2 linked regions of the Ovis aries genome follow. The protein of the gene in region 2 purifies or fractionates together with the protein of the main gene of each other region. This does not show direct contact. Links are inferred from orthologs where the notes say so. Each region holds a gene or a part of one and is shown on either strand. Other genes may lie near its edges.

Region 1 (7,147 bases), on a different chromosome or scaffold from region 2:
CAACTTTCTGGCTTCTGACCAGGGAAGAACTGTTCTTTAAAAGCGTCATCTTTGCATATCGTGGGGTGACAAGTGCAATGCACTCACCGGGGGTCAGTGAGGCTGGGAGCAGGAGGGGGGAGACCTGAGAGTGGGATCATTGAGCCGGGAGTTTCTGTCTGGCAGAACGGAGGAGCCGAGCACCTTGGGAACTGCAGGTCTACAGCCAAAGCTCAGAGGAAACTGCCGCCCCGGCGTAAGGTAGGAGCGCGAGCAGCGGTCAGCGGCGCTGGGGTACTGGCCAGAGGCAGACTTGCAAGCCAGACAATATACACCCACAGCGTTATATTTCTGTTGCTTGTCAAGGCCTTTCCGCTGGTGGCGGTGGTGGTGGTCCTGTGTGCGTCCTCCCTCACTGCGGGCCATGCTGGGCTTCTCTGCCGCACCACGAAGAGTCACATGGGCCGGCTACTGGATCTGCTTCATGCTCCTTCCTGGAGCTGTCAGACCGTCTCCTGAAACCAGAGCTCGAGGTCGGCCTTGCCCCTCCCGGGGAGTCTTGGCAGAGTTCTAGAAAGTCTTCAGTTACCAGATAAGATGGGTGTCCAGCCAGTACTGCTACAGCTGAGGCTGTGATTCCCCCATCGTATCAGAAGAAGTTGGCCTCCTGCCCCAGAACAGGCTGAGCCCGGCTCCCCTCAGCCTCCCTTTACCTTGCACTCCGGCTCCGGCTGCCCCCACTGAGCAGTGAAGTTGACCACACACTCCCTCGGTTTCAAAGACGGCCTTTTTTTTTTTTTTTTTTTAAATCAAAACCTGCGTTAGTCCTGGTGGCAGGGCTGGCTGTGCATGGGTATTGCATAGAAACGAAGCATGCTTTCATCGTATGTTAGAATTCCTGGTGTGGGGGTAGTTTCTTTCCTTAAGAAGCTGGAGCCTTTTTGGATATTTGGTCAATCCTCAGGTAATCTATGAATCGGACGCTCACTAGGGTATGTCGTGGAATCCTGCTTTTTTACCCGGCCTGGGTTTAAGTTCGAGGAGACAGAGGAGGAGGATGGTTCTGATTTAGAATCAGACTTGTGGGGAATGGCAGGGGATGGGGGGATGGTGTAAGGTTCCCAGAAGTCAAGGTGATTTGAGGGCTTGCTGGGGTTTTCTACCATGTAGAGGGGTGCAGATACGTGCTTCTATCTGAGCACAGAGCCCTGGGGAACACCAGACTCCATGTGCACCCTCCAACAGCTCAGCTCAACTTTTGGGGAACAACCCTCAGGAGAGACAGCCTGAGACGCCCTGACCCTGGTTTGAGACAGAAGCGTCCTAAACTGTGCAGGGGGCTCTGCCCTCGGCCGCTCACCAGTCGTGAGTCTCCAGGGAGGGTGCATCAGGACACTGATCCCACCTGGGCCTCTGCCCAGGCTTGAGTGCCGGACTGAAGGTGGAATTCCCCTTGAACAGGTGACATTCCCCTCCACTGTCTCCACGGCTGTCCCCAGCACTGAAGTGAAATTCTGTGCTTAAGTTGGAGACAGGATGGTGTAGGTGATTCTAGACTCAGGACAGACACTAGCTACCAAGTTCATGATGGGGCTAAACATCTTTCTCTCCTGGACTTGTTACCCCTGAAGTGATTCATTTACAAAGTACTGACACTCTATCTCCACTGACACCTGTTTTAGTTTATTCAAACCCCTTCTTATGACAACAATGATCTCTCTATATTTGGACACATAGATTTCTTATAAATCTATATCCAAAAATTTAAAAAGATGCTTTTGATCTGCTTTCAAAAGTTCTAAGAACCTGGGTTGTTTAACATGCCAATTTCTGGTACCCAGTAGGTATTCAGTAGTTCCTGAAGGAATGAATGAATAACAAATAAGTAGGCTTTTCCCCTTAGTGTTAAGTTAGGATTAAATTCAGTCTGTGTTTTATGGCCCATGTATTCTGTGTAGGCCCTGTAAAATGTGCATCATTACCGCAGCAGTGATGGTAACCTATCTTGCTCCATTGCGTGGGGCTGTCGGCTTTATTTCTGGTTGTCACAGAACCCCTCGTTATGTCCACCTTTGTTCAGTTGCTAAGTTGTGTCTGACTCTTTGCGACCCCATGGATTGCAGCACACCAGGCTTCCCTGTCCTTTTCCATCTCCTGGAATTTGCTCAAACTCATATCCATTAAGTCAGTGATGCCATCCAACCATCTCATCCTCTGTGGTCCCCTTTCCCTCCTGCCTTCAATCTTTCCCAGCATCAGAGTCTTTTCCAATGAGTCAGCCCTTCGCATTAGGTAGCCAAAATATTGGAGTTTCAGCTTCAGCATCAGTCCTTCCAATGAATATTCAAAGTTGATTTCCTTTAGGATTGATTGGTTTGATCTCCCTGCAGTCCAAGAGACTCTCGAGAGTCTTCTCCAGCACCATACTTCGAAAGCATCAATTCTTTGGTGTTCAGCCTAACCAAAACCAAACCAGACCCTTGATGTGATAAGTTCTAGATCATGAAGACTGTGCCCTCCTCCCAGTGACATTTATATATCACTTTCCTGATATGCAGAGAGGAAGAAAAAAAGTTACTTGCTCCTTTCCCCCAAATTCATTGAGTTTCAGACAAAGCAGAAAGTTGGCTTCAGGTCTAGTGGTGGGAGGAGGCAAGGTAGGGGCTCCCAGGGAGGTCTTTCTGCCCAGTGGTGAGTGTGCAGCAGGACCAGTGGAGAATGAACCATGTTCTCTTGCTGACCCGTCTGCACAAGTGACCAGCTGGAAGAGCTCCCCCCCAACCCCAGGGTTGACTTGCTGGTTTGATGACTCTTCCTCCCCTGGTGATGGGATGTGACCACCAAATAAGGAGGGAGACTTTGTCCAAGTCTTGGTTCCCAGGACAACCTTTTGGAACTTGATAGCCAATCACAGAGGAACGAGTCATGACACTGGTCACTGTTGCCAGCCGCCCAGTTGTCATTTATGAAGCCGTAGCGTGAGCCCAGATCCAGAATTGATGCAGTTCCAGGGTGTGGAGACCCCATGGGGAAGGCAAGGGTCACTCTAGTTGGTCCTGAAAGGGCCTTCTGGACCTCAGTTGAGCAGTGCAGGGTTTTAGCAGACAGCCTGCTCCCGTGACCCTCCAGAGTCCTCTGGCTACCCGAGGAGCCCTACTTTTTAGATTTCAAACCACTTAACACCCTGCCTTGGGTTTCTGGGATTAATTTCCTGCTGTCATAGCCACTAAAAGGTGCTGAAGTCGAGTTTGCATGGAGAGAGGGTATGAGTCACTCGGGCCTTCAGTTTACAGTATCCATCTCATACTAACCGCCAGAGCTGGGTGCTTACTCTGCAGCTTAGCATCCAGAGGCCCTCATGCCCATCATCTTGAGTCATCTTCATGTCATCCCTGGGATGAGTTGGGGGAGGACGATGGGGGGAGGGGTTGCCTTGTCTTAGGTTCTCAGCAGATTTGTGGAAAGCCAGGCTGATTTGGGGTCACCTGGCCTCCCCATCCCATTAGTACCTATGAAGTGCTGGCAGCCCCTCTGTTGAGGGAGGAGGTAAGTGGCAACAGGTAGAAGTTGGCACAAAGGCCTGTCCATCTGCCCCAGGCTAAGCTAGGGGCCTGGGGTGTCTCACAGGTCAGGATGGACCCAGAGAGGCGGGGTGAGTCGCCACATTGCTGGCGGTGCTGGGCTTCATTTCCTCACTCCTCTCCATCTCCTGGGTGATGGTTTTCATGTGCACCTTTGCCCAAACTACTTGTTTGCTGTCCTTTGTTCCTGTGACGGAGCAGGCCTTGGTGCCCCCGTGAAGGACCAGGCCCGCCCCGTCTCTGTCATGGCCCCTCTCGGTGGACCCCATGCACTGACGGGAAGAGTGGTGCTTCGTGTGTGGGGTGTGTGAGGGGTGAGGTGCGGGGAAAATTGTCAAAAACAGGCAGGTGTGGTATTTTCAAATAACCCTGGTCTGGGCTCTCTCTGCGGGCAGGATGACAGCGCGGATCTGAGGTGCCAGCTCCAGTTTGCCAAGGAGGAAGGCTCGCTGATGCTCAGGAAGATGGCCACGCTGGGGCGCGAGAAGGACCGGCTGGAGCAGGAGCTGCAGAGGTACAGGGCCCTCTATGGGGACGCCGACAGCCCCCTGCCCACGGGCGAGGCCGGCGGGCCGCCCAGCACCCGCGAGGCCGAGCTGAAGCTGCGGCTGAGGCTGGTGGAGGAAGAGGCCAGCATCTTGGGCCGGAAAATCGTGGAGCTGGAGGTGGAGAATCGGGGCCTCAAGGCTGAGATGGAAGACCTGCGCGGCCGGGAACCCCTAACCGGTGGGCCGACCTCGCCCTTTGGGGGGGACTCCCTGGAGTCCTCGGCCGAGCTGCGCCGGCACCTGCAGTTTGTGGAGGAGGAGGCGGAGCTGCTGCGGCGGTCCATCTCCGAGATCGAGGACCACAACCGGCAGCTGACCCACGAGCTGAGCAAGTTCAAGTTCGAGCCGCGGCCGGAGCCAGGCTGGCTGGCTGGGGGCGGGGCACCCCTGCAGGACGAGCTCCAGGCGGTGCGGCTGCCGATAAGCGAGCTGAGCGGGGAGGTGCTAACGCTGCAGCCGGGCCCGCGTGCCCCTAGCCCGCGGGACAGCGATGCTGACAGCGACACGGGCCGGAGGAGCGACGACGGCGAGGACGGCCGCGTGCAGCCCCGCCGGGAGGGCCCCATTGGCGGCGAGAGTGACTCGGAGGAGACCTTCGAGAAGACGTCCGGCTTCGGCAGTGGGAGGCCGTCGGAGGCCGGCGAGTGCCCGGCGGAGCTGCTGCGCGCGCGGGAGGACTCGGAGCGCCTGGCGAGCATCAGGCACGAGGCAGAGCGGCTGGAGCGCACGGTGGAGCGCATCATCACGGACACCGAGGCTGCGCTCCCGGGCGGAGAGGCCTCGCCCGGGGCCTGCGGCCAGGACACCAGGGAGGAGCCCCAGCTGCTGGGGACCCTCAACGCCAGGATGAAGGCCTTCAGGAAAGAGCTCCAGGCCTTTCTGGAGCAGGTGGAGCGGCTGGGGGAGGGCCTGTCCCCGCTGCCCCAGCTCACCGAGTCATCCAGCTTCCTGTCCTCTGTGACCTCCGTATCCCGGGACTCCCCAGTGGGGAACCTGGGCAAGGAGCTGGGCCCGGACCTGCAGGTAAGGGGGCTCCTGGCTCTGCCTCCCTGCTCCGTCCTGCTCCTCCTCCTTCTCGCTGGCCTTGCCGCGCTCCAACTCACCTTGCTCACGGCTGCTTGGTTATGATTGCAAACCTGCATTGTACTAAAGCCTCAAGTTTCAACCAAAGCCTTTCTGTTGGTTGGGTTTCTCTTTTTTTTTTTTTTTTTTTTGGTTTGGTTTGGTTTAGCTCTCTTTTGTTTCCTTGTTTCTTTCCCCCTTTCCCTTTTATTTTTAACCACGTCACTGCTCTTGGCTAAGAGGTCCTACCTCTTGACACGAGGCTAACCCACTGGCAGCACCAAGGATGGACGCATTCTGTCCCTTCTCCTTTTTTGGGCGTCCTCAATGACCAGCCATCTCGATGAAGAAGCAAAGAGAAGTTTGAAGCGCAGTGCAAGCGCTCTTCGAAGTCAGGATAATTAGCAGACTCCCCGGGAGCGGGTGCATTCGTGCCTGGGTTCACTGCCCCAGGGACAGTTCAGCCCACCGGCTCCCTCTGCGACACAGGTGGGGCAGGCAAGGAGCATGGTGGAGAGAAGGATGGCTTTGACAGCGCCCTGGAGCCGAGGGCGGCGAGTGGTGTGGCCCGGACGGCTCTCCGTGCACCGCCCTGGACTGTGGCGTGCGATGCCCGATGCCTGACTGCGGGCGAGTCTCACTCCCGCGTCCCCATCGCATGCGCCTCGTGACCAGCGGGTTGCATTCTCCCGTCTCTCTGTTTGCCTTTCAGATCTCTCAGCCTGCCGTTTTGCTGCTCCTCCTCCTGGCTCTGTTCTCTCCTCTCTCTGATGCCGCTGTGTTTGCGTTGGTTTCTCTGGTCATGCTTTTCCTCATCCCATAGATTTCCAGCTGTCTGTCTACCTTCCCCACCCCACCTCACCCTCTTGTCCTTTGTATTTTGTTTAAAATTGTGAGACAAGAACAAAAGCAAAAAAACCAAATCCCTCCCATGCACCTCACAGTCCAAACTGAGAGATCAGATGGAGTGGCAGCCGGGGCAGGAGCGAGGGGAGGAGCGGGGTCACCTCCATCTCCGCACCGCACGGGAGCTGCACCGCCGAGCCGATGGGGATGCCGGGAGCTGCCGGCCTGGAGCCCAGAGCTGCTTCAGCCTCGAGGTGAGCAGGGGTCCCCTTCACCTTCCCACTCCTCCTTTGCTATGTGTTTGTGTGACGGTTCCCAACTAGGTCCAAGGCCCCTAGGGAATATGATAGGGATATGGGGCATGTGAGATCAGGGGGGTACTTAACTAGAAACGAAGTGAAGCGACTGAGACTGATTCTTGAGGCTGTGTGGCTGCTTGTCAGGCAGTGAGGAAAGGAGGACTGAAAACCAAGAGTGTCCCACCTGTGTGTCTTGCCCCACCCCCACCTGCTCCTTTCTGGATGGTGCTCCAGACGTAGGACAGAACCGGGGATGCTCTTCTGACCTGGGGGCTCTTCCGCAGTCTCTGTTGCCATAGCAACCCATGTCCACAAATCTCACAGTCACCGTGGATAGTACTGCTTTTCCTCATCCCATAGTTTTCCAGCTGCCTGTCTACCTCCCCTACCCCACCTCACCCTCTTGTCCTTTGTATTTTGTTTAAAATTGTAAGATAAGATCAAAAGCAAAAAAACATATCCCTCCCATGCACCTCACAGTCCAAACCGAGAGGTCAGATGAGTGGCAGCCGGGACAGGAACGAGGGGGAGGAGCGGGGTCCTGTTGTAGGCCACAGTTGTCCTGTCAGCGCAGGCTCCTCCCTGTAGGTAATTCCACCAGGACAGAAGGTAGGTGGCCCCGAGGCAGGTGTCTGGCTCTGGTACCACCTGTTGAGGAAGTTGCTGCAGGGTTACAGCTGCATGTTCTGCATTAGGAAAGGTCAGGGTGTTTGCTTTCGGAAGCAAACAGAAGCTCACTTCTCAGAGTCAGGTGAGAAAGTCCCCTACGAGTGCTAGGTGCTGTGCGACATGAAGTATAGATAGTAATCAAGAACCAGAAGGAGTATGTCTT
Region 2 (7,147 bases):
ACCCCTGGGGTTGCAAAGTCGAACACGACTGGGTGACTAACACACACACAAACACACATGCGCATGTACACAGGTAGCCCCCGTTTATCCAGTTAATTTCACACCACTATGAGACTTCCATGGGTTCCTGCTTTCACTAAAAGAAACCCAAAGACGATTTGTGCTTTAGCAAAGGAAGAAACAGCTGCTTCACTCTACGCCATTTCAACCTAAGACAGGCTTATCAAAACGCTCTATCTTAGCACAGAGGGGAACCTATATCCCCATCTGCTTCCAAAAATCTCTGAAACAACTTCTAAGAAATGGCACACAAATATAATTAATTCCTTGTCCAACATCATATATTCCTGGAGGGCAGACACTAGTTTTTCCTGCATCTCCCTCTGGGAGCTGTGGGGTGAATAGGCATGCGGTGAAATCAATCAATGAACCAAATAATCAAGTGTGCAGTAAAGGGTTATTAACTGGACCGCACTAGGCTGTTCAAACTTGGCACATTCCAAACAGAGGACTGGCCCCCCACCAGCTTCTGGGAGATGATCTCTCAGTATCTGAAATAAAAAAGGGCCCTGGGCCATGTCAAAAAGATCATGCTAACATTGTGACTTATGGTGAGGCCCTTGGGCCATGTGGCATCAAGAGACCTGTAACCTAAGGTCAGCCATCAGCAGACAGGATGGGCACCCTCTCTGGGGTTTGACTGAGAGGACTGGCCTGCTGCTGGTCGGTGCCCTCTCCCTTCACGCCAGCTGAGACGGAACAAATCAGGGCAGCCACCTCAGACCCACAGGGTGCTGGGGTCAGCCAGAACAACGCCCTCAGTGTAGGTCCCCTCTGCCCCTGGATTCCTGTGAGAGAAACCATTCTCCACCTTATTTAATCCACAGCACTTCAGGGTCTCTAGTAAGCACCTTAGCCTGAACTTGGATAGACATGAACCTGTCACAGCACCTGTATGATCAGGGAGTCAAGGGACCGCCCATCTGTCCCTCTCCACTGCCAGTCTCTGCAGGTCCTGGAGGATCAAAAGGATCTTGTTCCTTTTTTTCTCAGTATCCCTAATGCCCAGGAAAAAGACTCGTACAGAATAAAGGCACATGAAACAAACGCCAAACAAGCGAATGAGCTAACGTGCAGCCCATCAGGCCCACAGACACTCAACTCCCTGGCAACCTGGGCGTTTGCCACAGGTGCTGGCGACCCTGGGGAGCAGCTTCCCCGCCCACCACAGTCAGCGCGCAGAGCCCCACAGCGCCCGCACCTCGTCCTTCAGCTGGGCCAGGAAGAGGGGCAGGAGGTGCTCGATGGTGCTGTCTTTGCCCAGGATCGGGGACAGGCCCATGATGACGGAGGCCAGCGCCGACTTGACGTGCTGGTTGGCGTCAGACACCAGCTCCTGGGAGGTAGAAGGAGGATGGGAGCCACAGGGTCAGTGGCTGCGGAAACTCAAGTCCTACGAACCCTGAGACACTGCCTGCTTTTGTCCTCTCGATCCAGGCTGAGTGCACGAGGGGAACTGGAGCGCCTGCCTTACACATTCGGCGTGCCTGGAGTTCAATGACCCCTGCCCCTCCCCGGGAGCCTCTGCCCCAAACTCGAAGCTCTGTGGATGAGGAGACGCTGTGAGCTCTGAGGAGGAAGCACCCCACCACCACGCTCAGCCCCGAGCCTCAGATTCCGCCTGCCCTCAGGCTTCCTGACTGCTCTAAACCCAACACTGCCTGGTCCGAGGAGGCTGGGAACTCAGTCTGCATCGGGCTGCCCCTCACGCCCTATCTCCACCTTCCTTCCAGAAGGTTCAGGCATGCTCTACTCCTCCCACCAAACTCCCTGTTACCTTGATGCAGGGCAAGATCTGGGTCATGATCACATTCTCCCGACAGTCGGCGGAGAGATTTTCACAGAATTCTGTGGGCAGCGAGAGGGAGGTGACGGGAGGTGAGACCCGAGGTGCCCGTTCTGCCTGCAGTCCCTCGGACACCCAGCCCACCACCCACACGCCCGCTTGCTGTGTTCTGGTCACCAGCACCAACCTTTGACCTTGTGGGAGGCGGCGGCCCTCACCTCGGCCTCACAGTCTTTCATCAGGTTCTGGAAGGCAGGGACCAGGTCCGTCTTGGTGATCTCAGGCCCCACCGCTTTCTGGAGCTGCAGGAAGTGAAGGAAGGGCAGGGGGAGTGAGAGGGCTTGCCGGGCACCTTTGGTGAATGAGAACAAAATCAAAGTTACAGGCACCAGGACTGAGGCAAAAGCAGCCCTTGGCGTCACCGCTGAGATGTAACGCGGGTGCCGCAGGGGCGACCTCAGCCAGGTCTCAGAGCCTCTCTGAGCCTCGGTTTCCCTGTTGTGCAGTGATGACATGTGTATGGTGCTGAGGGGCTGGGCAGGGCAGTGGTCACAAGCGTGGCCCTGGAGTCCAACTCCCTGGCTCAAGTTCTTACTCTTGCTTATCATCTGTGTGACCCTGGATGAGTGCCTGCACCTCTCTGAGCCTCAGCTTCCTCAACCCCGAGGGTACCTACTGCAAAGTGCCGCTGTCTGCATTAAAAGTAACAACAGACTGCCTTACTGTTCAGGTTACTCGGGTTGGGTTTTCTGTCCCTGATGCCAAAAGACTAACGATGTATGATCACTGCCACTTTCTCATTTGTATTATTTCTGTGTTATGACTATTTACCAGAACCGATATTACTTTTGTAATTAAAATAAAACAGTACAGGTTAGGGTCCCCCCCTCAGGAAGCCAGGCAAGGAGAATGCACAGGTTCTGCCGTGAAGCTGCTTCGTGAGGGCCTGGGGGAACAGGGTGGTTCCTGACTGCGAGGAGAGGAGCCTGCTGCCCGCCTCTCCAGCGTCCTCTCCCCTGAGAGCCACTGCCCGACGTTCTTGCCTGTGCTCTGCTCACCACCCAGGCCCGCTGCACACACGGGACAGCTCCTGCCCCGGCCCTCTCTCGTCCTCCAGAAGCTGCTGCAGCACCTCATCTCGGCACTTCCACGCCCACCGGCCAGCCCTGCGCCTGTCGCGCTGTCTCACTGCATTCCCTGTCTCAGCTGACCTTCCCCCTTCAGGCTGCCTGTTCCTTGAAGCCCAGGAATGTGCTGAATTCACTGGATCCCCAACACCCAGCCACGAGCTGGAGCTCGACAAACATGTCTGTGCGATGAGCCATTGAGACTCCATGGAAAAAGCACTGTCCTCAGAGATGCGGCATCTGTTCTGCCTGCTTGACAGCATCACTCTGACCATTCAAACATTTGGGCCATGTTTTGCGGCTCGACTGTATCCCCTGAAATTCATACACTGACGCCCTAACTCCCCACTCCAGTACCTCAGAATGTGACTGTACTTGGCCACAGGGTCTTTAAAGAGCTAACAGGTTAAAATACGGTCATTAAGGTGAGCTCTAAGCCAAAACATCTAAAGCGCTTATAAGAAGAGGAGATGAGAACACAACCCACAGGTAACATGCAGGGAGAAGGAAGCCGCCTATGGCCGAGCAAAGACGCCTCCGGGAAAGGAGATAAGGTTCGTAGGTCGGGAACACACACATGCTACCCTTCTCTGCTCCTGTGGTTCCCCCACAGAACCTTAAGTTGGCCTCAGAAATCTCAAGGAAGCACTTCAAGCTGCCGCTATCAACCAACCAGAGTTGTCAGGTGAGCTAACCAAATGACAAGAGAGCTTCCTGCTTTGATGCCTGGATGACCCACTGGGCTTCACTAAACCCCGGCTCCACGTGGCCCCGCTCCTTCCTGAGGCCTCCATCTTCCCGTCCGTGAGACGCTGTCTACAGCCCCTGCACGCACCTCCGTGAACTTGTCGGCCACCATGTAACGGACGCGCCAGGACTTGTCCTCAGCAGCCTGGCGCAGGGTGGGCATCACCAGGGCCTCCAGGTCCTCCTGGGGCAGGAGCTGGGCGATGTTCACGCACGCCTCCACCGCTAGCAGCCGCACCGAGTCCTGGGGAGAGGGTGGGAACAAGGAGGGGGAGCAGAAGCCCCATCAGCTCCGGGCCAACTCCCCAGACTCGGGGTCCGCCGCGGGGAGAAGCAGGAGAGGGGTGGGCAGGCGGCCCCACCTGCTCGTCAGAGGCCAGGTTGGAGAACATGGGGATGATCTCGCTCTTGACGTTGTCCAGCTCCAGCACCTTGGCGAACTCCCCCAGCTTAGAGGCTGCGGCCCGCCGCACCATGGGGGTGTCATCTGAGCACAGGTTCCGGAAGTACCTGGGCAGGTAGAGGGGGCTCAGGAGGAGGAAACCCTGGAATCCCAGGCAGCCCTGCAGCTCCTGGCTTTGCCCAAGTGATCCTGATTCAAGTGAGAGCCTCTGAGTCTCCCCAGACCTACACGAAGGAACTGATAACAGAACCCACCCCACTGGGCCGCTGAGGTTTAAACAAGACGCCGTGTGAGAGACACCCAGCCATCTCTCTGTGCGCAGGTCTACAGCAAGCCGCAGCTGCTGATTCTATCTATAACTGTGACCACATAAAACTGCTTAGCTAAGAGGCTGCACTGAAGCTTCTCAGAGCGTTTCCTTTCCAGCACCGACTGCTTCCAGTTAAAGAAACGCAAGGGGCCCAGAACAGCCCTCCAAGCGCCTGCGAGCAGCTGCATGCTGCTGTCCTGGCCGGAGTGATGGCTCAGGGGCTGGGCGTGCTGCCCACGGTTCAGGACAATGGAGGAAGGACAGGACCCCAGGAGAGGAGGAAACACACATTAATGGGAGATTTTAATCCAATTAAAAATACTGGTTCTTCCACAGGCCAAATCTCAAGTGCAAGCAATTTCCTGGGGTTCAGCCAAGAGGGAGGGAGGTGGTGGAGGCGGCAGCCTCCCATCTGCCACACCGAGACAGGCCTACGACTGCACCGCACGTCACTGGCTGGGCACCTGCCATGTACCAGTCTTTCCTAAGCGTTTTATACACAGTAATTCACTTAAATAACCAATGGGAGGAAGAACCATCATTGTCTCCATTTCCTAAATGAGCAGGAGGCAGTGCCTGGACTGACACCCTGCCGCATCCACACACCAGCTCTCTGAGGGCTGGCAGAGCTCAGGGGCTTCTGGGAGCTGGATGGGCCTAACAGAGCCTGAGGCTTGAGAGAAGGGGACCAAACAGAAGCGGGAGGTGGGGTCTCGCCAGGGCCCAGCAGCCGGGGGACTCACTGTCGAAGCTCCGCCTTGACGGCACTGGACACGCGGGGGTAGCAGACGGAGAAGAGGCCGCAGGCTGAGGTGCGGGAGGTGAACCAGTCGCCGCCCGCCAGCCGCTTCACCAGGGGCACAAAGTGGGCCTCGAGGTCGGAGGGGGAGTGCTCGTGCGAGATGGCCCGCAGGGACTCCACTGCCTTATCCCGCACCACCGTCTCCTCCACCGTGGCCAGCGACTCCAAGGGCGGCTGTGGGGCAGAACAGGTCAGTGCACAGCTCCCCCCCAGCCCCCCCGAGCTCCCGGCTGCACCCCTTCAGGGACTCAGCTCCTCCGACAGGCTTTCCCTGATGACCAGAGGCCCGCGTGCACCCTATGTCTCCTCCCTGAAGAATCACAACAGAGAACCTCACGCACAGGTCCTTGAAGGTGCTTCAGTGGGGTGTACAAACCCCCAAGCTATACATGTCACCTTCTGAGAGGGCCACAGCTGTCCCTGGCATCTCCAACTGCAGTAATAATGACTCATGTTGACGGCAGTGTCTATTTACTACATGTTCACAGCAGGGCCACAGCTCCAGCGGTGCTGGTTCTATCTCACCTGAGTCCTATGAAGCAGGTCCTGTTACTGTCTCCATTCTAAACTAACAGGAAACTGAGGCACAGCCAGGCTAAGTAACTTGCCCGAGATGTAAGGGACAAGCTAGGATCTAAACCGGGCCAGCTGGCTCCAGAACCTCCAAAGGGCTGAAGGGCAGAGCTGTGTGGACAGGCAACCACACCAGGATCTCACGATACTGGGGAACCTGGGGCTCGAGACTCTTGTTACTGCGAGGCCTGGAGTGATCGTGTTCCTTTAGGGACATGTGACTGGCTGACCATGGGGTCACCTGGAGCCCAGCAGACCTCCTAGCACAGAGCAGGAATGCAGGAATTACTCACTTAAAGAAGGGAGACTCAATTTTTATCCTAATCTGTTCAAATAAACATGTGGGTGGAGACTTGTGGTCTGAAGTCCAACCTGCCTGACAGGGACAGAAAGCAGAAAGAAATAACTGGAGATGTCTCCAGGACGCAGGCAGGTGACTGACTGCAGCAACGGGCAAAGGTGACAGGCGGGCACAGCAGGGGCGGAGACTGGCTGGAGGGCGTCCAATCCAGGGAGCAGAGCTGCTTCCAGCTTCCAGCTCCGCCAACTGTCCCAGGGGGACATGGCCGGGGAAAGCAAATCTCGGGGTTTCCAAAAGCAGCCAAAAGGGCCAGGCTCTCACATGTGAAAAAGAAATCTCATTTGACACAAGCTTCAATGTGGATGAACTCCTTGAAGACGTTATACTAAATGCAATAAGGCTTTCACAAAAGACTACATAATGTATGCTTCCTTACGTGAGGTGCCACGTTTTACAAACTGAAGGTGTGTGGCAACCTTGCATCCATCAAGCCTATCAACATCAACTTTTCCAACAGCATTTGCTCACTTTGAGTCTGTGTCACACTTCAATAATTCTCAAAATACTTCAAACATTTTCATTATTAATGTATTTATTATGATGATCTGTGATCAGTGATCTTTGATGTTACTACTACAAAAAGACTGCCACTGCTGAAGGCTTAGATGATGGTTAGTGTTTTTTGGTGAGAAAGTATTTTTTAACTAAGATATGTATCTTTTTTTTTGACAGAACGTTACTGCACATTTAATAGACAACAGTAAAGTGTAATCATAACCTTTATATGCACTAGGGAACAAAAAAATTCACGTGACTCATTTTATTGCAACATTCACTTTCTTTATTATGGTAGTGTGGAACTAAACCCACAATTTCTGAGGTGTGTCTGTAGGCAGACTCAGAGAGACAGCCAGTGGAAAGGTGGCTGGGGGTGGGTGCGAGGAGCTCGGGAGCTACTGCTTGATGAGTACAGTTTCTTTGGGGAAGATGGAAAGTTCTGGAGATGAACAGTAGCGATGGCTGCACCACAGTATGCAT

Evidence for each region.
Region 1: the proteins of PPP2R1A (region 2) and MTCL1 purify together in Homo sapiens (co-immunoprecipitation; 3 studies listed by BioGRID and IntAct, with this or other methods). This does not show direct contact. The link is inferred for Ovis aries from reciprocal best matches to the Homo sapiens genes PPP2R1A and MTCL1.

The regions. Positions count from the first base shown.
Region 1 is NC_056076.1:41,698,093-41,705,239, forward strand, and holds part of MTCL1 (microtubule cross-linking factor 1), read left to right. Parts: intron 1-165; coding exon of another isoform or gene 166-240; intron 241-3,955; coding exon 3,956-5,131; intron 5,132-6,114; coding exon 6,115-6,270; intron 6,271-7,147. UniProt on the Homo sapiens protein: Microtubule-associated factor involved in the late phase of epithelial polarization and microtubule dynamics regulation.
Region 2 is NC_056067.1:58,166,365-58,173,511, reverse strand, and holds part of PPP2R1A (serine/threonine-protein phosphatase 2A 65 kDa regulatory subunit A alpha isoform), read right to left. Parts: intron 5,410-7,147; coding exon 5,177-5,409; intron 4,231-5,176; coding exon 4,083-4,230; intron 3,965-4,082; coding exon 3,809-3,964; intron 2,149-3,808; coding exon 2,034-2,148; intron 1,909-2,033; coding exon 1,838-1,908; intron 1,397-1,837; coding exon 1,262-1,396; intron 1-1,261. UniProt on the Homo sapiens protein: The PR65 subunit of protein phosphatase 2A serves as a scaffolding molecule to coordinate the assembly of the catalytic subunit and a variable regulatory B subunit.